Schizosaccharomyces pombe: one gene and its partners. Each later gene encodes a partner of the first gene's protein in a complex. Each region holds a gene or a part of one and is shown on either strand. Other genes may lie near its edges. The genes, in order: mrp2, snr1, rsm23 and rsm27.

Region 1 (6,753 bases):
TTGCAGGTGTTTAAATTTAGTTTCGTCAATTCCTTTTTGATAAAAAAAAAATATGAGCGGATCCGTTACTTCTACGACTACCGAAACAAGATTATGCCCTTCCAACCAAGGGAGCGCTAAAAAGTATCGTCCTTGGAATGATTTCCGTAGTGACACTTTGACTGTTCCTACCGATGAAATGCGTCGCATCATGTATGAGGCCTCTGATGGTGATTGCGTTTATGAGGAAGATGAGGATACTAGAAAGTTGGAAGTTTATGTTGCAAAGTTGACTGGTAAGGAAGCTGCTTTGTTCGTAACATCTGGTACTCAAGGTAATCAGTTGTGTATTCGTAGTCATTTGCATCAACCTCCTCATAGTATCATTTGTGATGATCGCGCCCATATTTATAACTGGGAAGCGGGTGCAATTGGTTTGTTTACGCAAGCTATTGTTCGTCCTATTTCTCCAAAAAATAATGTATATATTACTGCCGAGGAAATTGAGAACAAGCTTATCCTGGGAAATGATATTCACTTTTCACCCACTGGGTTGATTTGTTTAGAAAATACTATTAAAGGTGCTGTCGTTCCATTGGATGAAGTGGCTCGTATATCTGGTTTAGCTAAGGCTCACAAGATCCCCCTGCATTGCGACGGTGCTCGCTTATGGGATGCTGCTGTTGCTTCCAACGTTTCAATTAAGGAGTACTGCTCTTACTTTGATTCCGTTAGTCTTTGCCTAAGCAAAGGTCTTGCGGCTCCTGTTGGTAGCATTATTGTGGGACCACGAGACTTTATTGCTAAAGCCAAATGGTTCCGTAAGGCTTATGGTGGTGGATTGAGACAATCTGGTATGCTTGCTGCTGCAGGATTATACTCAATTCAGCATAACTTTCCTTTGTTGAAGCAGGTCCATAAATATGCTATTGAAGTCGCCGAATACGCAGAATCTCTTGGAATTGAGCTTGAAGTTCCCACTCAAAGTAACATGGTGACATTGGCCAATATCAACGTTGCTATTCTTTGCGATGAAGCCAAAAAGTCTGGAATCATTTTAATGGGACCTCGTATCGTGTTTCATATTCAGATCACTCCTGATGCTGTCGAGATTTTGAAGAACGTTTTACGTCGCACAGTTGAGCGTCAAGCAGTTGAAACCCATATTGTTGCCAAACCTGGTGAGTTTTGTGTCGGCTATTAAGGGATTTTGCACATGTCACCTAAACTCTAAGCTTTATTTTCTATTTAAATCTTCTTTCTGCTTTATCAACTAGGCAAATTTTCTCGTCGACGCTCAAATTATTTTTACAGTAGTACATTCACTTGTCAAAGTTGACTGACATCTACTATTGCCTTTCAGTTTTTTGTATGAGTATGTAGAGTTATGTGCATTTCTTTCTTTTATGATTTTTTTTCATCGCTTTAGAGTGGTATTTAGTAGAACGTAGTTGTGTTGAAACGTATTCATAGTTATGTCTTATATAACGGTTGTTACATCATATTTAAACTGTCAGAATCAGCTCCTTTGCAATTTATTTTACACAGCTATTAGCAATTCGCTTCGCTTATCTTAGATACTTGTGAGGCACAGACTGTCAAAATTTGTTGAAAAGAAGCTGAAACAGTAATTTGCGCGTATGAAAACGTAAGTATTTATGTTTAACACCTAATATAATCGGCATCGTTGGAAATTCATCTTCGTAAAATTCGGTCAATTACCATCGAACTTCGACGTTGTCCTTTTGAAGCAACATTTAAAGGCCTATACCTCGCCAAACTCCTTTTTCATGTCATCTGTCAGTCTGCCATGAATTTCTCAAAAACATTACTAAAAAATTCAAAAGACGGGATTTCAAGTGTAATATTTTCACCCTCTGTCAAAAACGAACTAATTGCAGGGTGCTGGGATGGTAGCTTACTGCATTATCAAATCTCGGAAAATCCCGAACTTTTAGGGAAATACGATTTATCAAGTCCTATTCTTTCTTTAGAATATACAGATGAAAAAACTGCTTTAGTAGGAAATTTAGATGGGACAGTTACTACCCTCGATCTTAATACGCGAAACCATGAGTTTTTAGGAAACCACGGTAAGGGGGTATCGTGCATTTCTAAGTTGCGTTTGGAAAGTAAGATATATATTTTATTAGCCAGCTATTCTATTAACATTTTAGACTGTTTCATTAGTGGGTCTTGGGACAAATCATTTCGTGTTTGGGATGTTCGCGTAAAGCAACCTGTCGAGGGACAGGATATAGGAAAAAAAATTTTTGCAAGTAGCTCGAGAGATAATATATTGGTTCTAGGCTGTTCAGAAAGAGAAAATTTGGTGTACGATATTCGAAATTTAAAACTTCCATTTCAGCGACGTCCTTCTAGTTTTAAGTATATGACTCGAAGTGTTTGCTGTAACCAAAATTTTGAGGGATTCGTTTCTTCCAGCATTGAGGGAAGGACATCTGTTGAATATATTAACCCGTCTCAGGAAGCGCAAAGCAAAAATTTTACCTTTAAATGCCATCGGCAGATACAAAAGGACTACGATATTGTTTATCCAGTTAACGACCTAAAATTTCATCCGATTCATCAAACATTGGCAACTGCTGGGGGAGATGGCGTTGTTGCGTTTTGGGATATACAAGTCCGAAAACGATTAAGAGTGTTAAATCCTTCAAAGATCAATATATCATCTATTTCTTTTAATGTTGACGGAAGCATGCTTGCAATTGCCACTTGTGCTCAAGAAGAAGCCGCTGGTAATATCTATGTTCATGCTTTGGAATCCAACTTTGCAGCTCCAAAGTTAAAGTCATGAAATCGCTCATCAAAAAGCTTCATCCATGTAAAATCTTATGCAGATTCTTTTACTGCATACATATGAAATTTATATTATTTGAAGCACTCCTATTTAATGTTGTAAATGTTCAATATTTCCTCAGTGCTTCAAAGTGATAATTACGGTATTTATTATTTTTTATTCCACTATATATATTAAGTTAATAAGCAATTAATATAAACGCAAGACCATATTTATATAAAGAACGGGTTACGATTAAAAATACTTAATATAAAAACAATGTGACACTATTTGGTAGAAATTATCTAATTTACTTTGTTTCTCTTATTCACATTGTTTATAGTTATTAAAATAACTATAATTATACAGATCGCTAGCGCAGTTCGTAATTTATTTTGACTATTTCATCTACTGAGAATACACTCACAATTTGAACACAACAGAGAAGCCTTCTAAACCAGAAATAAAAAATATGAGGGCTTTGGGCCACCTGAAGCATAAAGCATTTCGTGATTTATTATGTAGGAGACTTTTTGCTGAACACGAAGTTGAACGTCAAAGCAATCTCTATATATATAGAAATCCTGAGCTACCTCTTCGGGTGCGTTTAGAAGCCAAAAAGCGGATTGAGGCTTTACCGACTAATGCACATCCTACAAAAATAAAAAATCGCTGTATTGAGACAGGTAGAGGCCGAGGTGTATTTCGTGCGTTTGGACTTGCAAGGGTACGATTATAATGTCATATAAATGCATTTTTGATGCTGACTATTTCAGTTTCCTTTTCGACTTAAAGCACTAGCTAATAAATTACCCGGAGTTCGGTAAGAATAAGCATTTTTACTTTTGTCACTAATCCATTCAGCAAGGCATCATGGTAATAATCGTTGTTTGTATTTCAATCCATGATAAGCGTTATTGAAATAAAAAGCTTTAATTATCTTCCGTGAATCCATCATGTTTATTATTAGCTAATATTTATTCGCCGTTTAAATGAAGTACAATTATTTGCATGATTACATTCCAAAACTGAATATTTACATTATCAATTGTTTATGATTGCCAATAGTTAGGTTCAGGTTCTGTGAGCGGCCTATCCATTATACTTTTAGTAGATATAGAACTGGTATTGTTGTTCTCTGTATCTTCATCAGGTGTACTATTTTTTTCGTTGTCTTCCTCTTGAGAAGTATCATCCGTTTCTTCATCTTCACTTTCACTGGTTGATGTTTCATATTCTCCTTCAGAACTTTCAGAAGTTTCACTAGCATAAAATTCTTCAAGCGTTTGCTGGCCAACAAATTTTGGACGGTTAATTGCGTTAGTATCTCCAAAATCACGTTTAAAGTTATCAGAAGATAATGCTTTCACACCCGGTGAATTGTTTGAATAAATATTTCCCGTATGAGGGTTTATTGGCAAAACATCCTTGATACCTTCTCGGACAGAATCAGGCGGTAAATCAGAGACATCAGCCCAGTTAGGGATTGGCTCATATCCCATCACGTCTTCATTCAAACATAAACTAGCGGTACCAATGCAGTAGTCCCGAGAAGCAATAATTTCTTTTTGACTATTCCCCTTGCTTTCCAATACGATGCGCCTAGTAAATTCAGAACTCGGTGTACTAGCTAGTTCTTTGTAAAACCTAGCTCTATCTCGTAAATCGTAACTCATGTCAAAGTGTATCAAAGATAAAACATAATTAAAAAGTAGTGACACGACATCATCTCTTGACTCTAAATCGTTTTGCTTCTCTTCAGAATGAGACAAAACATATAGTCTTACCGATAATTCGAGAATTTGATACTTCACTTCTAATGTCTCATCAGCAAAAGTTTTAACAGCAATGCGTAGCACATCAGGGACTAGTCGCGGTATGATTAGTATATGCTCCGAAATAAGCCATAGTGTAACGGATTTGGCCCGCGGTACTTCCAAAGTTTCATACGTTGCAGCTAAATACTGCAGATATATTTCTTTAGGATCATTATGAATGAGAAGCCGAAGTGAAGAGGCAGCTTCTGTCACGATAAGGCTATTATGTGATTTAAGTAACAGCAATAAAGTGTTAAGACAAGAGGGGGCCATAGAAATGTTAGCACTAGCAAAATCACCCAATGCCTTTACCGCCGTTGATGCAACAGAAGGATTCGGATGACTGTTAATGTAATACAATAATTCGGGAAGGATTTGCGATGAATTTTGAGCATCCAATAAACGCGACAATATGTTGATTTTTAAAAGGCACGTATCGTCACTGTCAGAAGCAATTAGAAAGAAACTCTTTATATGGTTTTTAAATAATTCCTAATATCATGTTAGAGTCGTTTAAATACAGGGCAATGATATATACTTACCGGTGTTTTATATACAATTTGAGAAATATATCGTAAAGTTGTCGTCCTAACAATTGGCTTTTCGAGCAAAAGCTGCAACAATGGTTCAACGATTAAGTGCATTTGATTTGAAGGAGCTAGATAGTAAAAAGCACGAGCACCTGCTATAATAGTACTCGGAAGAAGAGAGAAAAAGCAAGACTTTATTGACTCAAGTAGTTCCTTTAAATCTGAATGTGTTGAAGGAGTTGAAGGCTCGGGTAATGTAAGTCTGGCATATCTAACCAATGTTTTCAAAGCCACTACTTTGTCCCAGTCATTCATTTGCGGGAAAAGAGTACATATCCTATGATAATATGGATGAATAATTTCTAATTTCTCAGGACAAACGACTTCAAAAGTAAATAATGCAGCTGGGACTACAATAGGACTATTATCAGATAAAAGCGTTTTGATGTGCTCTTCCAATTGCGATTTATATGAAGGGTCAAGAGAATAGCACTTTGTAATTGCCAATGCCGCACTTTGGCGAACGCGATCAGCTGTATCAGTAATGCATTGCTGAATTGCTAAAAGAACGATTCCATTAATGGCAGGCACCCTGATACTGCTCATAACTCTAATTGCGGTAGATCTAGTTAACGGGTTTTTATCATACAGTGTTTTTTGAACAGTATTAACAGACAGCAAAGCAAGATCTGGATTGAACTCAGCATACTGGAGTAAATAAATATGGACCAGGCGTCGTATTTCCGGATTTTCTGAAGCAACTAACTTCACAACATCTGGGAAGTATAACGACATATTTTCGCCGTGCATCATTTGAGCTAAAATGAAGTTAATCGCCTCTAATTTGCCAGCATCAGAGTTGGAGTTCAAGAGGCGTAATAAATCGGAGTGGGAAAGCTCATTTTCTTCGAAAGAAAGACTCGAGCTTTTTGCTATCTGCTTTGCATTTTCCGCAAGCCCGCTTAAAGTCTGAAAGAACGATAGATTAGACATTTGAAGTAGGCCAACGTAAGGAAATCGGCGTGTAATAGCAGTGGATGCACTCAAAGAGCTAAAAAATGAAACCACTCCTAATAAAAATATTAATTTAATAAAAAATGCAAATCCAAGGATTTATACTGCCGCGCACGGATTTTCAATGAACCTTGGCAGTTGCTTGGTTGATATGTGCTAAAACATTATACATACCTCACTAGTGGTGTTTCGCTACTAAACACCATCAGTGCATTTCTTCATCCAAATTACTTTAAGTACATTGCATATTAAATTATTTAAATAGTAACTTACGAACAGTTTCAAGTGAATTTCCTCATGTTTTTCTCTTTAAGCTTTTTTTTTTTTACAAAAGGCAAAAAAGATCACGAACTTTAAAGCTCACATGATTAATGGGATAAACCAATACATCAAGTTATTGTTTAATGAGCATAGCAGCAGTGAATTATTTAAATCATAGTCTTGGTTATTCATAACTATCTTGTCTTTTAGCATTAATGTTCAGCCATGAGACAAACGGTATTATTTTCAATGCTACCTTTTTATATCATCACTATGTATTTGTTTTATTAGGCTGGTGTTTAAACTCAGCTAAGCATTAGTTATCTCAACTAAAAGATTGTATTAATATTTA
Region 2 (7,297 bases), on another chromosome or scaffold:
CTAGCTTCGGTGATGATCTGGACTTGGGAATGCAACGGTCTGCAACTTGGGCACCGGGCTATAATTATCCAAGCAAATTTGATAGCATACCTTTTGCTTCAGCATCTCCAAAAATAAAAGCAGCTTTCCCTTTCGATCCCAACGTTTATGCATTGAATACTAACGATGGTCCAGTCACGAGTACTGATAATAATTGTGATCAATTAAACACTAGGATGCAGGCATGGAATAATGGCTTTAATTACTCAAACCTAAATGGTGATATCCAATATCCTGCTGTTACACCAAAATTTTTTCAACAAGAAGGCCGGGCCCTTAATGTTTCCGACTGTAATTTTGGAAATGAAGAAATTGCTTACGGTGGAATTCCTATGCGTGTTTGTCATAGTGATAGCACATTATGTGATGCCAGAATTGCAGCTAAGCAAGCTTTAAAAGGTAAAAGGCAATATGACACATCAACATCAAAAGCAGAGCTCTCTACTCCCCCATCAAAACGAAGGCATATTGATGATGCCGATTTAGTTTTTCACAGTAGTCCCTTACTGTCACGCTCGCGATTCATTTGTTGCTACTGCACGAAGCCTTTCCTTTCAATTAGTAAACTTCAGGAACATGAGTCCTCGTGTTCACATGTTGAGCGACTCTTTGGGTTTGCCCCAAATCGTCTTTATGATGATGGTGATGGATTTTTGGGTTCGAGTTTTTGCAGTGATTGGTAAGATTATAGCATGTTTCGCTGCATCTATTTGATTGTCCAGCAGCTGAGATTGCTACGATTTATTCTTTATTTAAAACACATTTATTTCATGCTTTATTACTTATCATTAATCTTGTACTTTAATTTAATTTTTCATAGTTATTAATCTTTAATTAGTGTTTATGAGGCGATCTTTGAAGTCTCTCTTTTGTTTTTAGAATTAGCATTTTTTTCAAACAAGTAATTGCCAACTAACATAAAAATATTAATAAATTCATACATTTCAATTAACATCTGGTGAGCCAAGAGTGAGTTGTAGAATAATATTTAATGCTCATAATACCTATTCCACATCTATGTCATTCAAAATGTTAGACATCCAGTGGGGATGTGGCCATACACGAGCTATAACTTTAGCCTTAATAAGGCCCATTGGAACAGGTCCGTAATTTCGACTATCAAGTGAGTGAGCAATGTTATCTCCTGCAAGCCAAACATGACCTAAAGGTATAGTTATTTTTTTATTTGAAGAGGTGGGATCGACATAAATTGTATCTCCTGGCTATAAAATTAGTACAAAAAGGATAACGTTCCATGTGAAATACTCACCATTCCAATGATTCGTTTGCACACGTGTTGCTTTGAATCGGAAGGTTTTGCCGAAACAACAACATCTCCTACAGAACATGAACGAGCAAACCTACCATGCAATTTATCTAACAAAACGAATTCACCACTTTTTAAGTTAGAACCATAAATACAAAGCGTTATTTCAATACCCAGAATTTAATGTTGGCATCATACTTGGACCCGATGTCATTTGCACTTGAAAAAGATACTCATGAATTTGATGCACAAATGCAGCAATCTGAACGACGGCAATAGGAATACGGAACATGCCAGCCATTGTTAACCAAGAGGTAACTAATCAAGACAGTAAACTAAATAAGCCGAAATTAAAAAATTTAAACACGACAAGAGAAAGGATTGAAAAAAGAATTAATGATTGTGGATTATAATGTTTCCGTAACTACCAAAATCGGAAAATGTAGATTCATGAAATTCAAAAACAATTGAAAGATATGCGTTTATTTCATATCATAGAGATAAAGACGGTTCAGGTTTTGATTTCGTAAAAGAACTACTATTTGCATCAACATAAGCAGTCAGGGAAGCAGGTTGATCCATATCACTTAGTGTATTTCGTTGAGCAAACTTCTCTACAATTAACGACATGGCTTCAGAATCAATAAATAGTTTACCGAATTTTAGTGCATCTCGAACCTGAAACTCACCAACAGGAATAAAGGAGCAATGGTAGCCTAACTGTCTAGATGCAAGCAATAAATTATTATTTTTAAGGGACTCATCTTCAAAGTAATTATCGTTAAGGACAAAAAGTGCCTTCCCGTACTCGTGTCCTAACTTGTGTTGCTTCAAAACTTCAAGCAAAATCCGTGTTTTTGGTTGACTTAAGTTGATGGGATTTTCAAGGATGGTCAGTTCATTATTAATAAATCTTGTACTTAGCGCAATCCTCATTGCTAAATTATAAACTTGGGTTTGTAATTTTGTACTGAAATCTCTAGGCTTAGGACCATGTGATTTAGCACCACCTCTTCTTATAGGACTTGAGGCATCGCCTACCCGTGCATGTCCTGTACCTTTTTGTCGATAAAGTTTTCGACCGGAACAAGTAATTTCATTTCGGCGCTTTGAGCTAGCAGTGCCTTGACGGTCATTATCTGCTTCATAAATAACGGCACGATGCAAAATATCTCGACGAAATCTTTCTTGCAGGAAACTTCCGGGAATAAGAAAAAGACTCGCGGGCTCCAACGACGGAAATTTATATCGCACCAAGTGCAACATTTTTGCTGTCATTCTGATTAGTTTGTGAAATGGACGACTAGTACCTGAAGAATGGATGTATTTTACTTTCAATTAGTCTAACACAATGTACTAAGTATCACAATGCATTTCATTATAACATATTGTGCATTCAAAAGTATCGTAAAGCGTAAAGTATCGAGTTCATTAAATTACGTTGTTTTATGCAACAGGAACTTTATGACTGTATACTGTTAGATAAATTAATGATATCTCATTCATTACCTAAAATAGAAGAAATAATTATTTATACTATGTGATGTCGTACATTAAATATTTGGAATTTGCTCATTCTGACACCTTAAATTGTTGTTGCAAATAGCACCTGTGTATTACAATAACAGTTTTGAGTACTCAATGCTATGCAACAAGTGGTTTAAGACTTTTAAAATCGACAAACCCTGAGAAACTAAATTAATACTAAATATAGATTTTTTGAGACAAGTATTTGCCCAGCTAATGCATGGAAACCTACTTTGTTTTACGAATGGTCTTTTGTGATTTGTTATTAGTTCACAATTAAGAACACACTTCGTTATAAAGTAACGTAGAAGAGACGTTAACCGTCTATGCAAAAATAATCGGTGTTATTTAACTTGGTTAGCTTTCATGGGATTGAAATTAAATATCTCTAACGATTTGAAAAAATCTGGATTTATGTTAAGGCAATCCTTACTTAAAACAAGTGTGTCAAATTTCCTTTCTTTGAATGCAAGTAGCACCATGTCTAGAGCGTTTATTCGAAATCCAAAATTTTATAGCACTTCCTCAAATGATACAGTTTTATACGAGAGTAAAAATGGAGCAAGGATATTTACTTTAAACAGGCCAAAAGTATTGAACGCTATCAACGTTGACATGATAGATTCAATCCTACCAAAGCTAGTTTCATTAGAAGAATCAAATCTGGCCAAGGTAATTATTCTTAAAGGAAATGGTCGCTCTTTTAGTTCGGGAGGTGACATTAAAGCTGCAGCACTTTCAATACAAGATGGAAAATTACCTGAAGTTCGCCATGCATTTGCTCAAGAGTATCGATTAAGCCATACGTTAGCTACATACCAGAAACCAGTTGTGGCTTTGATGAATGGCATCACCATGGGAGGTGGATCTGGTTTGGCTATGCATGTTCCTTTCCGTATTGCGTGTGAAGATACGATGTTTGCTATGCCAGAAACCGGAATTGGCTATTTTACTGACGTGGCTGCCAGTTTCTTCTTCAGTAGACTACCAGGATACTTTGGAACTTATCTGGGATTGACATCTCAAATCGTAAAAGGATATGATTGCCTGCGTACTGGAATTGCAACTCATTTCGTTCCGAAGCATATGTTTCCTCATTTGGAGGACAGGCTTGCAGAGTTAAACACGTCTGATATTTCTAAAATCAATAATACAATCCTGGAATTTGCCGAATTTGCTAGCAGTTCACCACCCACTTTTACTCCAGACGTTATGGATGTCATTAATAAATGCTTCTGCAAAAATGATACCGTTGATATTATTCGTGCGTTAAAAGAATATGCTTCAAACACTAGTGCTTTAGCGGAATTTGCAAAATCTACCGTTAAAACATTGTATAGCAAATCTCCGACTTCAATTGCTGTTACCAATCGACTTATTAAGTCTGCTGCTAAGTGGAGTATATCTGAAGCATTTTACTATGATCATATCGTTTCCTATTATATGCTTAAACAGCCTGATTTTGTTGAAGGTGTTAATGCTCAACTTATTACAAAGACCAAAAATCCAAAATGGAGCAAATCCCATGAATATCACTTTAAAGATTTAGAAAACTATTTCAAGTTGCCTTCAGAATACAATAATGGGATATCTTTTGCTGCAAAAGGAAGACGTAAAACTCCCCTTTGGAATTATAAGACTTATCCTTATTTATAATCCCAAAGGTTACATAAATTAAATATTGTTCTTTATGTCTACTAAGTTTTTTCAGTATTATAATAAGATGATTTATTTCAAAGACCCTGTTATGTTTTAGCATGCGATAAAGCACATAACTCTTTTTAGCAGCTAAAAATAATGATAGCCATTTTAAATACTCATACTAAAACTCTTTTTCGGTAGCTGTGCGTACGATAGTTCAAAAAAAAGAATGCTAACGGCATTAATATATATTCCATAATTCCCATATTGGATCAAACAATGAGAAAATAATTGACAAAACTGCCAAACGCATACCCAAAATATATTTTTATTATTCCAATTGCTCACGGCCTTACCATAAGCTTTTCTAGCAAAAAAAATTATATGATAAACTAAAAAAGCATGCACTTATGGCATATATTTCTGTTTACTGATGTCTCAAGTATTTTCCTACGATGATACAGTGATCACGTTCGTAAGGCTCTAAAGTAAGTTGTTCTTGAGGTTTAATCTTTTCCTCTTGCATTTTCTTAACCTCACGAGCAAAAACAACAGCTGCATCAGCGGTAGAATCAATACAAGAAGCCTTAACAGAGATAACAACTCCACCTTCGTTTTTCAAAAAGGCGGCGGCGTTCAAAGCAACGATACGAGCCTGATCGGGTTGAGCAACGTCTGCAAAAACAACGTCAACCATTCCGACTAACATACGATACTTTTGAACATGGCGAGCATCCTCAACAATGGGGATGACATTCGTGCGCTTTTTAGCCATGTTAAGAAGATCACGTCCAGAACGATGAGAAAACTCAACAGCGTAGACAAGACCCTCAGGACCAACAACATCAGCAACGTGAGAAACGGATGTACCGTTAGCAGCACCAAGATATAAAACACGTGCACCAGGTTTAATATAGATGTTGTCTAAACCGCCCAAAATACCTGCGGCAAGTTTAGAACGGAAAGGATTCCATACACGGTATTCAACTTTGGTACCATCTGGGGAATCAACGCTAATACGTTTTTCATTGTATACTGATTCACCAGGCACCAGATTGCGGGTGACAAGCAAATCTTCTTTTCCGCGAGCAATGAAGACACCTGCATGACGATGAGGCTCAATAATAACTTTAGCACCTCCTTTGGCTCCACCACGGCCACCGCTAGAACCACCGCGGCCTCCTCTGGCACCTCCACGACCGCCACGACCGCCACGAGCACCACCGCGTCCTCCTCCTCTGGCACCTCCACGGCCACCGCCGAAACCACCACGGCCACCATTGAAACCACCACGGCCTCCTCTAGAGCCACCTCGTCCACCTCTTGAACCTGGTGTATATGCCATTATTTTTTTTTGTGGTAGGTAATGGGTCTGTAAAATTTTTAGGATAGCAGAGAGGATTACAGTTGGTGTGACTACGAACACAATTCTGCAACGCTAAAAATTTTTACGAGTTCGAAACAATCTGTAAAACCTCTAGTTAACGAAGGTAAACAACGCTAAAGCTAACTTAATGACATTAGTAGCATCGCAGTGTTATTATTTGCAGCTCATAACTTCTCATTAGTAAGGTAAACATATGTAGCAAAAGATGGGTTCCTGCTGTTTGAAAAGCAATTGTTTTAGGTCTCAGCAACAAATTAGAGGTATTCAATATAATTCTTTTGAAAGATTGGTGAAGAGAATGAATAGACATCTCTACTTGTGTTCATATAATAATTACGTTTTGACAATCGAAGTAACTAAACTTAGAGTTACAAGAGGTAGTGATTTATTGTCAGAACCGTTATTAGTTGTAGTTCTTCCAACCTAGTACTAGTTCTTATACCTTATCATATAAACTCGGTGTGAGCTAACAATGCACTTAAAGATTGTTAATTAATGTACGAACAGATCTAGCTTTGACGTATAAAATAAATAGAAAAAGCTATTGCAGATAGTTATAGTAATAGCCGCTTACTTTTTGCTGGCTGTCCGCATTATCATTTTAGAAAAGCAAATGCTAATAAATAACACCACAGCTTCAAATAATGCGCGTACTAACCTAATACTAGCTATTAAAAAAGGAACCATGTAAGTAGAATATACTCACAGAATGATAAAAAATTACTTAGTATATTTTTTATACCTGCATTGGAAAAAAAAATTCAAAATTTAAAAAGACAAGAAAACAAATTGAAATTTTAAAGACAAATCCTAACTTAGATCCGCTTATTAAATATTTTATAGGATACTACGACGTAAATCAACATTTTAATTTTTTAAGCCACAATAAACTTACCAAACTATAAGCGAAATTATCATTCAGCGTCAATTTCTCATTTTTGCTCACATTGAACTTACTCATAATCTAACGAACACAATATAAATATCAATCACTAATTTCGCTACTCAAAATTTCTTCGTCATCTGAAGACAGATCCTCCTCATCAGTATATGCGTCTTCAGAGTCTTCTTCATCCATTTGGTTAAAATCGCTCAAGTCACCTTCTTCTAAGAAACAGTCAATTGCCAAGGGTATGATTTGATCTTTAAAGACTTCTCCCAATTGATAGTCGAGTTCTAAAAGCTCTGTTTTGTCATCCAAACCATCATCAGATTCATCATCGTCCAACTGAGGAGGTGAGAAAAAGTTGAAAAAACTGTCATTAGGGACCGTAGTACGGACCAATCTAGTTTGATTTGTTTTACGGTTACGTTGTTTTTTTGTCTCCACTCTAACCGTTAAATTTTTTTCAGGCTTGATCCAATTAATCTTATCACCCTCAGCATGATCATACAAAAACTCACCCGAAGGACTTAAATCATCTTTATAGTAATAA
Region 3 (7,341 bases), on another chromosome or scaffold:
CAGGTTCAAGGACTTTCTGAATGGTATCGTAAAAGGTAGCTTGAATTTGAGCAAATGCTAATATACATTCGTCGGTAACATTACGCGCCATCTCCAAAAAAAGAGGAAGTTCTTCTAAAAGGCAATTACTAAGTAAAGGGAAGCTTTCAAGGTCCTCTTCAAAAACCTGAGATTGGCGTCGCTTGGAAAATGCTGTAGCTTTTTTGATCCATACATCGGTAACACAAAGGGGGTTTCGGAAGAAAAGAATACCATTGGAAATAGGTCTCAAAACGGATGTTTGACATTGCTCTGTCAAACGAAGCACTGCACCCTTGGCAATGTTGTCTAATGCTACACTAATGAGAGCCCATTTGTCTGCAGATTTAGTGTCTTTACAAAACACAGAATAGGCTTCGACGAAGGTAAAGAATTTTAGGTAATGATATCTGGAGAATTTTAACCAATCACAGATAGCACTTCGTAAATTTAAAAGATTGGTATAGGATGAAGACAGTTGATGGACAAACGCTAGAATGGGCTCATGTTCAGGTACGTAGAAAATGTTTGTAGAATTTTGAAGCTAAAAAACAATTAGTCGAAAAATTTAAAGATAGAAAATCATTGAACCCGACGTACCTTTGCAATTTTCTTGTCAATTGAATCTGTGGAGAGAAGTAAGACCTCTTGGGAATTCGAGACGCTATCCAGGGCTGTAATTATAATATCTCGTCTCCTTTTTAACTCATTCATTCTTTGGCTAGCGATCTCAGATTTGTGACAAGCTTCCCCGAGCAACACATAGTCGGAAATGATACCCAGTGAAGCAGATCGGTAAAGCTGATTTAGTAAAAGCGGATACTTCAGAAAACGCTGCACAGGCTTTACTAAAAAACTATCTAAATTCCAAGAGTTACTTTCAATTTTTGCCATGCTATCACATTCCTGCAAATATTCTGAGATTGATGAGTTCTTCATCCATTTTTCCACCTTTTTGCCAATGTTTTCTTGAATCACGCAGTATCGACCATAGACAGCAGATAGCTTGGGCAACCATGAAAGAAATAGTTGTGCAACGGAAGGCTTAGGCTTCAAACAGGCATCTTGATCATCCAAAATGTAATTGATTTCGTCGTTCAAGGATTTGTGCATTTCGATTTCGAAAAGTGATGCTTGCTTGCACAATACCAGAAAAATCTCAAACACATCTTTCCATTCGCTTTTTTTTACTCGGTCCGATAATCGGTCAGCATAGTACCGTTGAGCTACATGCAGATCATGAACGTAAGCGGCTTCTGAATCACGAAATTCCTCCAGAACAGAAATAATGGCTTTTTGTTTACTCCTCATAGCAATCGTCGATTCTGTGGTAGTGCTACAACTAGTTCTTGTCGACCTTGTTTCAGTTTCATGTTGACTTAACGCTATGGTCCAGTCAGGCCGTAATTTCAAAGTATCTTCTAAAGTGTGTGTCGAATTGGCTATAGGCAAGCTATCTGAAACAACTCTTTTTCCACGGCTTTGGAACATCCTTGGGTTACTCATCTTTAATCGGCTGTTGATTCAATGAGTTATCTACTCAAACGCGGGCACTTAGGAGTTCGTAGCGCGTTTGATTAGATCTCACAAAGCTAAAACAGAGTAGCAAGGCCGTTGATGAGTCGATTTCTTCTTTAAATACAATGCTAATTTAATCCAAAGAGTAACGCTTTTATCAATGAAATAGTTGAATAGCTGTTTTCTTTGTTGTTGCGGACGGCAAGAATAACCAGGTTACCTTAGTGGATATAGGAAAGAATTCCGCTTTTGAAAGAATGACTACAATGATATTGTACTTTATCAACATAAGCAAAGTTATTTGTACATAAATTATTTTCTTTTCTTATTTTTTAAAACTAACTAGTGGTCTTTGGGGATGCATTAAGTATTTGCTTAAAATATCGAACGTAAACAATACTTAGAAAATTAATGATATACACCATAAAATCGACGAAGTAGCCAACCGAGAAACAAATGATAATATTGGTAAGCTTTTTTTTGGATTAATGAGTTTTTCTTTAATTTTTTTTCTATTTATTTGCATTTTTTAAATTTTTTTTATTATTACTACTAAAAGCATCAATCTCATATCAAAATTAATTATTATGTTAAATATTTAAATAAACAAGTCAGTATTAGAAAACTTATTATACACTCGGTTTAAAAATGATTAGAAATTGAAGTATGGCTTGCACATTTATTTATATAATCTACTAAAAATTTATGTTTACCACTCAAAAGGATATGTTTTGATTGAGTATATCATTCATAGAAAATGCAAAAACCAATTTTAGAACATAAACAATTATATTTTTAAAAATTCACAGCTATATTTGCATCAGCCGGGAGTCGAACCCGGAGCTAGAGCATGGGAAGCTCCAATGTTACCGCTACACCACTAATGCATTCAGATATTTAGACTGATGTTGCAATCTATATAGTAATTTAGAAAGGATTGTTATTGTTGAGTCTGATGAAATTCTGTTTGTTGAACATTTCAAAAATGTTGCATATCAGTTAGCCATGAGTTGGGCTCTTAATATGATGTTCCAGCCTTTTAAGACTGCATACAGAAAATAATAATTAACTACGATATGGTCGCATTTTAACTGTATGAAACTTTTTTTACAAGAGGTTATTAGAAAATTCAATTGGAGGAAATCCCACAGTGTATCAAAACAGTTGCTGTTAAAACTTACTTTACACTTAACTCGTAAACATTCAACATTTTAACGTTCGATTTTCGAGTAGCAGCTTCAAAAAAGTGCTCGTTAATTTTTAACACATAAAAATGTGTAAACAAAGCAGCCACATAACCGATGTCTTACATATTCCTTCTGTACCCGTTGATATCCCAATTGAAGAAGGGATTTTAGTTGTAGCAAACAAAAACAAACGATAATAACAAAATAAAAATGATATTATACCACTTAACCCATGAATAGCTAAATTATAGTAAATTTTTAAATTAAGAAAAATTTTTTTTAAGCAGGACCAATTAATGGCGACGAGAGCGCTTGATTTTTTTTGAGGTATTTCTCACTTGCTTGGAAGTAAGCTTCTTTTCCTTTTCTCCCTCTTCAACAAGCCATTGTGTCTCTAATTCCTTATTTTTACCCTTATAACCCCATTTTGGTACCCATTCACCAGATGCTTCATCAAACACCAACCTGCCTTCCCGCTTCTTAGGAGCAATACCTTTAATACGAGCAAACCGTTGCCATTTGGTTTCGGGCTTGGGTTTAGGTAAAGGTTTAGCACGAGGAAGAGGTGTAACAGTTTCAGGAAGCTGTAAAAGGACGCCATCTGATGTACGCTCCTTAGGCAAGGAAATCATTTTGTTCACCAATTGTTGAACGTTATCTCTACTGAGAGAAAAAAGGAATGATTCTTTCTCTGAACCGCTAAGCTTAGTTTCATCTAAGGGAGAAATATCAAATGCAGCCATATTTCCCAAATCGAAATCTAGAGGAATGGAGTTTTCTATTTGTGCAGACATGATTAACGAAATAGGGACAAGGAAAAAAAAAGGGTTGATAATACAATTAAGTGACAAAAAGTTCTCAAAAAAGACTGCAAAATTGATTTGTTAAAAAGTTGGTTCAGGATACGAAATTCTTCTTTCAAACTCCAAAATTTTTATCAAACTACTGAATATATAAGAGAAAAAGCTCTCTTTCAGTTCAGCAATCTACTGTTTTTACTTTCTTTATGACAAACGAAGAAAGTAAGAAAACTTTTACGATTCTTTAGTTTTTGCAAAAGTAGAGACACTTATTAGCAATACGTTAGTTCTCTTTATTACTGAACGCCAAATCTACCCTATTAAAAAATATTAGCAATGCGCTAAGAGCTCAGTAAATACTTACCATCCGGAAGCAGTCAGTCTCTTCATTTACGTGAGAACAGATATGTATACTTAAGATTTACGAGAAAAAAATACCTCTAACAAAATGCTACCGAAGTTTAGAAGCAGAAGTAGTATTATTAAGAATACAGAGAGAATTTCTAATATCCTGTCCGGTGGAAAACTGACTGTTTGCGGTAGTAAACTGGGAGGACTCTACACTTTTGAAAAATGCACATTTAACAAATACTATTCATCCTCACAATACCAGCATACGGGTAGACCTGTTGGAGGAAATATACATTCAAGCTCTAACCAGCAGCGTCAAAAAAATTCGGAAGCGCCAAGAATTAATGAAATTCCCCCCTCAACTTCGTCAGTAGAGAAATCGACGACTATTCCCAATAGTAGCGTTGTATTGGATCATCTCTTAAATGAAGGAGAAAATACTTTAGAAGAGGTGAAGCCCTCTGAAATTCATCCGCATATGTCTTGGTCCAGCAAGTCTGAAGGTAAGATGTTTAAAATCCCCGAGGAATTGCTTAATAAACTTAATGGATTTGGGGCTTTAGAAAAACAAAAAAAAAGTTTCTCCTTTTTTACCAGTGCTTCCCTTTTGCACAGGAAAATTACAACTGAATTAGTGAATGTACTGCAGCGCTCCAAAGACCAGGGTACGAAGGACGGACGTTTTCTTCTTGATGGTGCTCCAGGTTCAGGAAGAAGTATTGCTCTCATACAAGCTGAACTTTTCGCCTTATCACAACCTAATTTTATAGTCTTGCCAGTCCATAACTGCGAAGGATGGGTAAATTCAACGAGTAGTTATGGTTATGATGAGCAACTCAAGTTGTGGGTGCAACCAGATTTAATTAAGGGATTTCTAACTTCTGTTATGAAAACTAATTCTGATAAACTTAAGAAGCTAAAGACCTTTGAAAGTCATGAGTTGCTTCAGAACGAATGCATTCCTGCTGGTACCGATTTACTTTCCTTTCTTCATAAGCTAATTGCTTCCTCGAACGCTCCTAAATCTCTGGAAATATTTTTACAAGAACTCAATAACAATACCAAGTCAAATTCCAATATGAAGGTGTTATTAGTGATCGATAATATTTCTATTTTATCGGTCGTTACCAAGTATAAGGACAAAAAGAACAACTTCCTTCCCCCTAAAGACTTTTACTTTATTAATTTACTTTTCAAATATATTTCGGGTTCGCTTACTTTTAATCGTGGTACTGTTTTAGCTGCTACTTCTAGCCAACCGCGTGTTTCTACCCCGTCATTGGATATAGCTCTTGGAGTAGCTCACAGAAATCCTTACAAATCTTCTGATGAGACTATATTAGATTCATTACAGTCCGTGCATATTCTTAACATGGAGCCTTACACTTTAGATGAGTCACGTCGCATGATGGAGTATTTGGTATCATCCAACGTTTGCCTTGAAAAGGTTGATAATTATTTGCAAAATCATGTCCTTAGTGGTGGTAATCCGCGAAAGTTTTTTGATGCTTGCACACGTCTAGCATGATTGAGATATTCAAAAATTTCTATCCACTACAACTCCTTTAACGCGGTTTTATTTTTCTATTTTCTATTCTCATGTTGTTCCAAATATGTATCATCTCGTATTAGGCTTTTTTCCGTTTTACTCCTGGAATCGTACCTTTTTCACTATTCCCCCTAATGAATAATCTAAATTAGTTTCGCTTATAATTGATAGTAGTAGAAAGATTGGTGATTCTACTCGTGTAATGTTATTAGTTTAAAGATACTTTGCAAAACATTTATTAGCTATCATTATATAAAAAAAATCCTATAATTATAAATATTAATCAATATTTGCGGTCACTATTTATTTAAAACGTTATGATCAGTAGGACACTTTGCATATATATAGTTATGCTTAATGGTTACTTGTAACTTGCATGACCGAACACCATACCCCCAAAAGCAGGATTCTTCGCTTTCTAGAGAATCAATATGTATACCTATGTACCTTAAATGATTATGTACAACTTGTTTTGAGAGGGTCGCCGGCAAGCTCGTATAGCAATATATGCGAACGCTTGAGAAGCGATGTACAAACGTCCTTTTCTATTTTTCTTCATTCGACTGTAGTCGGCTTCGACAGTAAGCCAGATGAAGGTGTTCAATTTTCTTCTCCAAAATGCTCACAGTCAGAGGTATATATATTTTTGTTTTGATTTTTTTCTATTCGGGATAGCTAATATATGGGCAGCTAATAGCGAATGTTGTAAAACAGATGTTCGATGAAAGTTTTGAGCGTCGAAGGAATCTACTGATGAAAGGGTTTTCCATGGTAAGGTATTCTAATTGTGAAATATTTACCTGCAATTACTGTTTCAAAGAGATTGTATTTAACCGATAAAGAATCATGAAGATTTTCGAGCCATGCATGTAAACGGAGTACAAAATGATCTCGTTTCTACTTTTCCTAATTACCTTATATCTATACTTGAGTCAAAAAATTGGCAACTTTTGTTAGAAATGTAAATACCGGTTAAGATGTTGCGCACTTTGAACAAGACTGACAAGTATAGTATCGGCAGTGATGCCATGCATTACTTATTATCCAAAGGAAGTATTTTTGAGGCTCTTCCAAATGACAATTACCTTCAGATTTCTGGCATACCACTTTTTAAAAATAATGTGTTTGAGGAAACTGTGTCAAAAAAAAGAAAGCGAACCATTGAAACATCCATTACTCAAAATAAAAGCGCCCGCAAAGAAGTTTCCTGGAATAGCATTTCAATTAGTAGGTTTAGCATTTTTTACAGGTCATCCTATAAGAAGTTTAAGCAAGGTAACTAATACTGTTATCCTTCATAACTAATTTTAGATCTATATTTTAACTTACACTCTATTTGTGATCGGAACACAGTACACATGTGGCTTCAATGGATTTTTCCAAGGCAATTTGGACTTATAAACGCATTTCAAGTGAAGCAATTGCACAAAGTGATTCCACTGGTATCACAGAGTACAGTTGTGCCCAAACGTCTCCTAAAGGTATACCCTTTAATTGAACAAACAGCAAAGCGACTCCATCGTATTTCTCTATCAAAAGTTTACAACCATTATTGCCCATATATTGACACCCACGATGATGAAAAAATCCTTAGTTATTCCTTAAAGCCGAACCAGGTGTTTGCGTTTCTTCGATCCATTCTTGTTCGAGTGTTTCCTAAATTAATCTGGGGTAACCAAAGGATATTTGAGATAATATTAAAAGGTATTGTATAAAATTTATTACCACTAACGATTTTACCAGACCTCGAAACTTTCTTGAAATTATCGAGATACGAGTCTTTTAGTTTACATTATTTAATGAGTAACATAAAGGTAATATGCCAAATTTTTTTACCATTAATTAACAATCAGATTTCAGAAATTGAATGGCTAGTCCTTGGAAAAAGGTCAAATGCGAAAATGTGCTTAAGTGATTT
Region 4 (8,424 bases), on another chromosome or scaffold:
ATCGATTCCGCATCAGACTTTTCCTCTGCTTTCTCTTCTTCTACATCAGTTTCGGAAAAAGAAGTATTACTCTCTGAATCTGAAGATGAGTCTGAACTTAAATCAGCAGACGATTTACCAATAGAAGAGTTACTATGCGTAACCTCCGCAATTTCATCAGCGATTTTTACATTGGATTTCTCGGATGAATTAGTAGCTGGAATGCCAACTTCTTCGTTGCTAATGAACTCCTCTTTTGGCATGAGCAAACCTGATGATGGAACAACACAATCCTTTGGGTTAGCCAATGCAACATCCAATAAGTCGATTTTGTTCTCATCTTGATAGTTTTCCTTGTGTTGGTTTATATCTTCTGTTGAAGAAAATAAAATTTCATTATCTTTTTGCTTAATTTCGCCAGAATTCGCTGAAGAAATATTCTGAAAGTTAACTATGTTCGGTAGATTATTTTCAGTATTAGTATTCAAGTTGTTTTTATCGATTGGGTCGCCCTGTGGGGTATTGATATTATCGATAGATAAATTTGAAGGAATTTGATCTTCTTTTACAAAATTTGATGAACTTGCGTTTGTAGACAGTTGCTTCGATTTTTCAACTTTCGATTCATCATCATAAATCAACGAAAGCCCTGGTATTTTACAAGGGAGATGCGGATACATAAAAACGCCTTTCGAAAAAGTTTTCGGTGCTTTCAATTACGGGATTTGGCAGAATATACTGAGACTAAGTTAGCAGGACGTAAATAATAAAATTTGATTTATATACAATAAAAACATTATATTCATAAATAGAAATAAAACTAAATATTAGAATTAAAACTAATACAAAATGAATTCATCTCTATGCAACATATCATAGGCAGTGAAGCGTAGAGTTACTCGCAAAAAAATAACAGTGGCTAAAATTTTTAACTGATTTTAAAAGCTATTTTGTTCACGATCCTAAAAAACATATAAATTTGTAGGAAACAGTACTAAGGCATCTAGGTTGAGCAAACCTCAAAATATGTTACAGCCTAAGTGAATATTGGAAGCTTCACCTGTTTGTATTGTAAAGCGTACAGCTACTGTATCGAATAGTTTAGGTCATTAGTTAATAATTGGATTAAAAAAAATCAATAGCGATAACAAATCATGACTATCTAACAAACATCAAACTCACATTAAAGATTGGAAAAATGAAGAAACCTTTTGGTAGCCTTCATCAAAGCGCTTCCTTTGTTCGGGGTTGGAAAGGTCTGCGCGAGCAGCCATCCAACCATGGAACATGTCGCTGAATGTTTCGAAGGAAGACTTGGCATAAGCGGGGTTTGTCTTGAACGCTTCTTCCCATTCTTTGATGATTTTAGCATCTTCGTCTTTAGAGCAAAGAAACAATACAGGACAATGAACATTGGCTGCATCAGCGCTATCAGGGAAGGAAGGGTGACAGCTAGCAATTCCAACGAAATCAATTGTAGCGGGATAAGTGACCAAAACTTTAGCACCCCAACAAAATCCATAAGTGCCAATAGTAACATTTGGTCCATGGTTAGCGCGCACAGCTTCTACAACTTTAGCAAGTTTCGGCCAGTGCAAATTAGGAGAAATTCTAGTAGAAAAAAAATCATTGCATAACTTTTGGTCCTCTGGCGTCTTAGGGGGTAAAGCAGTAACTGGCAACGGCTTTCCCTCTAAGAAATCGGGTAAGTAGACGGTAAAGCCATCATCTGCCAATTTATCAGCACCCTCTTTAATTTGATCAGAGAGACCAAATATATCCATGAAACCAATCAAAACACGGGTATTGGAAGTAGATCCAACAACATAGGTGGTCAATCCTCCAAAGTTTTCAATTTCTTTACCCTTAAAGGTATAGGACTTGTTAGAAGCTGCGGCACCACGACTTGTTGGACAGCAAGAGGCCATTTTCTTAAATTAATCAATGGTTCGTACAAAAAGTAACTGTACAAGTTTATTAAAAAACCACAATAAAATGGTAAGTTGGGTGAAATTTCGTCAGTACTGTTGGCTGTATATATATATCATATCATACACATTATGTCAAAAATCGGCATTGCATATATTATAACGATATTCTCTATATTTCCATGGAAAATAATATTATGTATCAAATAAACACTGACTATAATTAATAAAATATACATCCTTTTTAATTGCAAAATGTATCGCGAGTATTAAAATTGAAAGCGGATTATTTTCTTTATTAATGCTTACACATAAACACTGTGTATCCATGATATCTTACGGCCGCATGCTTTAGTCCTTCATAAGTGTTATCCAAAAAAAAAAGAAAAAAAAATACAGCGTATGACTATTCATAACAAGTATACAAAGTAAACTTTTTTTCCTCTATCATCAAACATATATTCTGAGAAGTTTGTGAGTCGGTTTGTTTAGATGAGAAATAATAAACTTGCAGTTATGACACAATACCTACCAAAGATGCTATACACGGGACATACATTTATTAGTTGGGATTGCAATCATTAATTATCGTTTAAAAGTCTACAACAGTTGGTTTGCATCTATTGTAAAAAGAGGATTGTAGCATGCCAAATTATGAATTTACGGTCTCATTGAACGTCAAAGGCGGAAAAAACCAGGAAAACTTTAAGTAGTTAAGCTATGTACTTTTGTCGAAAAGTTTATGTCTGAACATTTATCTCTAAAAACGCCTTACCTTTGTTAAAGTCTTTAGAAAATGTGAAAAACTGCAAATTAAATATTGGTCTGTAGCTTATAAAACTATCTTCAATCTTTAATAATGCAAGAAATAATTTTTTGACTTCGCGTACCAAAGAAACCCTTATAACGCGTGTACTAAATATAACTTTTAAATAATACTGTCAATAAAAAGTCCGAAGTTAAAAAAGGAACTTTCTTTCATCAATTTCCAACTATAACTATTCAATCTGTTGTTGGTTTAATCATCAGAAACCATACATTGGTTCAAGGCTTGTTTATACTCAATGCTGTTGACCATTAAATAAAAAAAATTCCATGTCAAGCTAACGAAATTGTTTACTTTTATTTTCGCTAATGAATTATGTAGTTTATCATAATACAAAGCAGCTTTTATCTCTACATGGCTAGTACAAATCATATGGTGATGAATTTACTGTTATGAAAATAAAGTAATGCTTTAAGTATATTTGAGGGCTTCAAAATTCATAGTCACTGATGCACCGGAATCAATAATCCGTGCAATTATGCATCAATTTGAACCACAACTTTAGGCTGTTTTAACTTCTCGTTCATCACCTTTTTGTCGGTGTTTATGCTCTGCTTTTCGGATATCGCCCTTAGGAGTTCAAACGATCTATTGCGGCAATCAATTTTGAGCACCGTATCTAGTGATAACAAATTATCTTTATCGGTTAAGCACGTTATTGCAGCTGCTTCAGTATGTACACATTTCACTATTTAGCAAAAATAAGATGAAACAAATGATACTACTAAGAGGTTATAATCATATCAGACTGTTTAACCATTCTTTTGTCATTTGCAATAAACACAAAATTTATAAAAGTGGTAGTATTCTTGTTAATCATCTACGTACTGTATTTAATTTGTTGTACCATAAGCCAACTCGAAATATTTTACCATCACACTGTTCTACTTTGCCCACTACACATATACAACAACACAGCGGGATAGCCCTAATTTTTAACGAAGTTAAAAAGAAGTTTGAGGGAATTTAAAATGATTCGTCTTCAAAAGTTTGGTGAAATTGTTGGGACCAGTCGTTCTTGGAAACTTCTTAGTTCAACCATCGCAAAGCGCTATTCTTCTTCTTCCAATGGAGTGAAGGAAATGACCGTTCGTGATGCTTTGAACAGTGCAATGGAAGAAGAAATGAAACGTGACGATCGTGTCTTCTTGATTGGCGAAGAGGTTGCGCAATACAATGGTGCTTATAAGATATCTAGAGGTTTATTAGACAAGTTTGGTCCTAAACGTGTTATCGACACTCCCATTACTGAAATGGGTTTTACTGGTTTGGCAACAGGTGCTGCTTTTGCTGGTTTACGTCCTATTTGTGAGTTTATGACTTTCAATTTTTCCATGCAGGCTATCGATCATATCGTTAACTCGGCCGCCAGAACCCTGTACATGTCTGGTGGTATTCAGGCTTGTCCTATTGTCTTCCGTGGACCTAATGGGCCTGCCGCTGCAGTTGCTGCTCAGCATTCTCAACACTTTGCTCCATGGTATGGTAGTATCCCTGGTCTTAAAGTAGTTTCTCCTTACTCAGCAGAAGATGCTCGTGGTTTGTTGAAGGCTGCTATTCGTGATCCTAATCCCGTTGTTGTACTTGAAAACGAAATTCTTTATGGTAAAACCTTTCCAATTTCGAAAGAAGCGTTGAGCGAGGACTTTGTGCTTCCCTTTGGCCTTGCTAAGGTGGAGCGCCCCGGTAAAGATATCACCATCGTTGGTGAGTCTATTTCTGTTGTTACTGCTTTAGAAGCAGCTGACAAGCTCAAGGCTGACTATGGTGTTGAAGCTGAAGTTATAAACTTGCGTAGTATTCGTCCTTTAGACATCAATACTATCGCGGCCAGTGTTAAGAAGACAAATCGTATTGTGACTGTTGACCAGGCATATAGTCAACATGGTATTGGTAGTGAAATTGCTGCTCAAATTATGGAGTCTGACGCATTTGATTATCTTGATGCTCCTGTTGAACGTGTAAGTATGGCAGATGTTCCCATGCCTTATAGTCATCCTGTTGAGGCTGCTTCTGTCCCAAATGCCGATGTTGTTGTTGCTGCTGCTAAAAAATGCTTGTATATTAAATAACAAGCTCAATTGTTGAGTCATCTGTTTAATAAAACCCGCTCTTTTCCCTTTTCCGAATAGTTGATATCTACGTATTTCGCTTTCTATTATTTTTACATTATCTACAAAGTGTAAATATCTAAGATGCTTGTCTTTAATGACTCAGATTATTGTGTGTGGGTCTTAGATGGTTTTAATTTCTTTGCAATTATTTGCGAAGATATGATTTTTCCAACCATCTTTCCAATTGGTTATCCGGGTTGGTATATCTACCTTTCAGGATAGTTTTGCTTCGTTTATCCTTAATATATGTTATATTGTATATATTACTAAATTCGTGTAAGTTTTTTAACGTAATCTGAAAGCCAGTGAACTTCAATTATATTATATTACAGCTAATGGAAATAATACGCTATATGAATATGTTCAACTATTTGGTGTCTATTATACTCTACTTAACTACTCGTAACCTCTTAAAGCGTAGAATATTAAGTACTTGATCCCACTAAACCTATTTACAGGTCTATCTTTAGTCAATGCACCAAAATGTTTCCATGTGGGGTTGATGAACTACTTATCCCACATCATCCGCTGTAGTATATCTAAGTAGACTTGCGCTAATAATACTTACAATAACAGAATTTCAGAATCCTTGCAGATGAAATCATAGTAGTGTCTTTAGCCTTATTATTGTTGTTTTTATTTCGTTTTGCCTTTAACTTTAAGCAACCACATTCCCTAGGAGCCTTCCCTAATTTTTGGTATAAAATCATGGCTAGCAAAGCAATCCTGGAAGAATTAAATATTCTCTCATCAAAAATATTTGGCACTCAGTATAAATCAAACAACTCGAGAACGGGTCGCAAATTTGTAGTACAAGAGCTGAAGGGAGCAAAACTGAAGAGCTACTATCCCGCAACTATCAATTATCGTCAATTAAGGACCCTTTTAAATGATAAAACATTTCCCGATAGTGATGAGGAATTGCGAATGGAAATCAGGAAAGGGTATGTTAGTTGTTAATTGAGATTGAATGTTTCTTTCACAAGAAATTAGCTAATTAAAATACTAGGAGAATACGCCAAGGAAAAGGAGCCTCCAAGTCAAAAAGTATGTAAAGCTTACTATAAAACCGAATTAGGAACCTTCTAACTCCTGTTTAGAAAAATAAATAATTGAAAATTGTGCCTTTCTAATACTTTGCGGTTACATTTCGCACATTTTCTTTCCAATTATTATCAAATGGGTAACGGCTAAACAGCTTTGAACGAAACTGATAAACTAAGTTTAATTATAAAAATTTTGTTGTTTCATAAACAAAAAATATTATATATCAACTGTGTGCAACAATACTTAACATTTTGATCAGTCGTAAGGAAATTTTTTCTGATGAAAAAGAAGATCTCGCAGTTTTCTAATAGATATTCTTTTGGTCGGAAGCATAGCGTACTGGATATTGTAGAGTTGCTCAGCAGGTATCGCTGGAACTGGGCAACCTACGAGCAAACTAATCAAAGTAGTTTTTGAAAGGTAATGCGAAATTAACCTACGCGCCAGTTTCCGATAATGCTCAAACATGGATCCAAGAGACATCGGTTTGGAGTTGCAATTGAGATATAGCGTTGCGAAGCCGTCTTGTTTTAATGGTTCAAAGCTGACTATCTCAAAATTCAGCCCACTTGGTATTCTATAAGGATCTTTAATTCGTAACATTGTAACAAATAATGGGAAGTGATTCAGGAAGGCTAACATAGTTTCACAGATTGCCAAGCATGTCATCACGGATACTCGTGTTAATGCAAATGCTGCATAGAAAACATATATTGTAGGTAAGAAGAATATTAGTACCGTAAAAAGGATTGTTCCTAAAAGTAGTTGGTCTAAATCATACTCATATGAGTCGATTCTATTTCGTAAAACGTTTCTTTTTTTTCCTCGAAAAAGCTGCAGCAAACTATAAATTACACGTAGCTGCCAATTATACAAACGTGATGAAGCCAAATAAAGCAAATGTATATGAATAGTCATAACACTTAAAAAATCAGAAATTAAAGCGATCATTAAACTAGCACCCCCAAACCCAGAAATAGCGACAACTTGAACCAAAAATGGAGTCCAAGGCAAACAATGCAAAAGAAAATTACTCCATACGTCAATAACCCATACAGAAAGCTTCATAATAAACTTGCAAATGTCGTTGTTTAGTTTTAATCCAGCAGGAGTATCCACGAGCCATATAACCATAGAACGAACGTTTTTTATCGCATACTCGAATGTGATATTTTCTATTAATTTTACCACCAGATGAAGATTCTCTAAAATAAATGAACTCATTGTAATCCCAAAGATCATGTCATTCGCAACCAACCAAAGGTTGTTATAGAATCTAATATATTCTTTGTAATCCTCTATCGCAACGCGCTTGCTTTTCCGAAAAACCCATAATTTCATATATTGTACAGGCCAAAAACACGCTTGTTGCAACCTCAAATCTACTTGACGAGCAGAAACGAAAATATCCATCATATTATAAGATAAAGGAATCGGTCGGTAATTAATCGCCAAGAGTATAACCTCATTAATTATCCTCAATAATATGATAAAGTAAGCAAACAGCGAATTAAAAAAATAAAAGGTTGATGACGAGACACGATCAAAAAGTCGAAAAACATATGAATTTTTTTTGTTATTATTTTCATGTGTTAACATGCGAACCTCGAAGGATTGATTAAGAAGCTCAATTAAGCCTGAGCGTAGACTCCTTTTCCAGCTATTTTCTTTGCGTCGGGGAAAGTGCAATTTCAATTTTTTTAACAGTATTTGCTGGTGTTGCATGCTTTCGTATTCAGGGTTTGACTTGTTAATAAAACTATCTTTTAACAATAAAAGCGATAGAGGTTCAAGGGAAAGAAATTGCATTTTTCTTGGCTGCGGAGGATGATAATAAATTATATGCAGATTTATTTTTAAAGGCGTACTAGCCGAATCGAAAACTCGGGGATGAGAAAGCTCAGTCGATTGCTGCACTTTGATCCAACAATCAATTTCATATTTGTCACCCGGCAAAATATCGGCAGAGCAATTAAACGTGCCTAATATACACAGAGATTTAATATCTACTGATTGATCTTGATTTTTGCAATAATCAACTAAAAAATTAGCGAAGGATTGATAACTAGTAATTGTTGTCACAACGATAAGATCGTTGGTAGAGTACTTCCAACCAACTAAGTAACCAGAATCGGTATAAGAGATCGTACTTTTGGGCCAATATATCCGTTTCACTTCAATTGGAGCCGAAGCTATATTCATGGTTGTGGTAGACATTTGAAATATAATATTGAATGCTCTGAAGTCAATTCCGAAGTGTTTAATAAAAAAGACAAACAAGTAATAACAGACTTTAGAAGCATACAAAAAACTTTTGTTAAGAAAAATATAACAGGAGATGATACTGCTCTCTCCGGTGTTTAGAACTCAAGTTGTAAAATCAAAAACTTCCTCGACGTAAAAGCTGTTCCCTTGCAGAAATGCCACCGCTAACTGACGTTGAGTTACGAGCTTCGGATTCAGCGATTCGTTCTAAAAGAATGAAAATAAAAAATCCTAAAACGGTAAACAGTAGTACGTATGAAGGAAC

What was found.
Region 2: mrp2 (region 1) and snr1 share a complex: the UniProt entries of both Schizosaccharomyces pombe proteins name them as parts of the mitochondrial small ribosomal subunit.
Region 3: mrp2 (region 1) and rsm23 share a complex: the UniProt entries of both Schizosaccharomyces pombe proteins name them as parts of the mitochondrial small ribosomal subunit.
Region 4: mrp2 (region 1) and rsm27 share a complex: the UniProt entries of both Schizosaccharomyces pombe proteins name them as parts of the mitochondrial small ribosomal subunit.

What each region holds. Positions count from the first base shown.
Region 1 is NC_003424.3:2,502,343-2,509,095, reverse strand, and holds mrp2 (mitochondrial 37S ribosomal protein uS14m), read left to right. Parts: upstream 1-3,211; 5' UTR 3,212-3,251; coding exon 3,252-3,506; exon of another isoform or gene 3,507-3,555; coding exon 3,556-3,602; exon of another isoform or gene 3,603-3,643; coding exon 3,644-3,659; 3' UTR 3,660-3,831; downstream 3,832-6,753. Other genes in the region: threonine aldolase Gly1, read left to right, coding at 53-1,183; mitotic spindle checkpoint WD repeat protein Bub3, read left to right, coding at 1,790-2,111, 2,157-2,797; AP-3 adaptor complex subunit Apl6, read right to left, coding at 3,832-5,088, 5,139-6,119. UniProt on the Schizosaccharomyces pombe protein: Component of the mitochondrial ribosome (mitoribosome), a dedicated translation machinery responsible for the synthesis of mitochondrial genome-encoded proteins, including at least some of the essential transmembrane subunits of the mitochondrial respiratory chain.
Region 2 is NC_003423.3:2,977,863-2,985,159, forward strand, and holds snr1 (mitochondrial 37S ribosomal protein mS47 ), read left to right. Parts: upstream 1-3,139; 5' UTR 3,140-3,199; coding exon 3,200-4,489; 3' UTR 4,490-4,578; downstream 4,579-7,297. Other genes in the region: MBF transcription factor activator Rep1, read left to right, coding at 1-722; mmp1 (endopeptidase catalytic subunit), read right to left, coding at 1,044-1,262, 1,310-1,436, 1,480-1,607; yml6 (mitochondrial 54S ribosomal protein uL4m), read right to left, coding at 1,799-2,584; fib1 (fibrillarin, rRNA and histone methyltransferase), read right to left, coding at 4,902-5,819; nucleosome assembly protein Nap2, read right to left, coding at 6,847-7,297. UniProt on the Schizosaccharomyces pombe protein: Component of the mitochondrial ribosome (mitoribosome), a dedicated translation machinery responsible for the synthesis of mitochondrial genome-encoded proteins, including at least some of the essential transmembrane subunits of the mitochondrial respiratory chain.
Region 3 is NC_003423.3:2,064,569-2,071,909, reverse strand, and holds rsm23 (mitochondrial 37S ribosomal protein mS29), read left to right. Parts: upstream 1-3,919; 5' UTR 3,920-3,971; coding exon 3,972-5,402; 3' UTR 5,403-5,723; downstream 5,724-7,341. Other genes in the region: gef3 (RhoGEF for Cdc42/Rho3/Rho4 (Gef3)), read right to left, coding at 1-562, 619-1,524; ribosome biogenesis protein Rrs1, read right to left, coding at 3,017-3,517; telomerase reverse transcriptase 1 protein Trt1, read left to right, coding at 5,800-6,057, 6,114-6,194, 6,266-6,384, 6,436-6,698, 6,735-7,127, 7,167-7,237, 7,277-7,341. UniProt on the Schizosaccharomyces pombe protein: Component of the mitochondrial ribosome (mitoribosome), a dedicated translation machinery responsible for the synthesis of mitochondrial genome-encoded proteins, including at least some of the essential transmembrane subunits of the mitochondrial respiratory chain.
Region 4 is NC_003423.3:3,066,839-3,075,262, forward strand, and holds rsm27 (mitochondrial 37S ribosomal protein mS33), read left to right. Parts: upstream 1-5,415; 5' UTR 5,416-5,555; coding exon 5,556-5,791; intron 5,792-5,856; coding exon 5,857-5,894; intron 5,895-5,947; coding exon 5,948-5,955; 3' UTR 5,956-6,149; downstream 6,150-8,424. Other genes in the region: snoRNP assembly factor Naf1, read right to left, coding at 1-659; SPOM_SPBC30D10.14 (dienelactone hydrolase family protein), read right to left, coding at 1,158-1,907; pyruvate dehydrogenase e1 component beta subunit Pdb1, read left to right, coding at 3,705-4,805; gpi1 (pig-Q), read right to left, coding at 6,150-8,111. UniProt on the Schizosaccharomyces pombe protein: Component of the mitochondrial ribosome (mitoribosome), a dedicated translation machinery responsible for the synthesis of mitochondrial genome-encoded proteins, including at least some of the essential transmembrane subunits of the mitochondrial respiratory chain.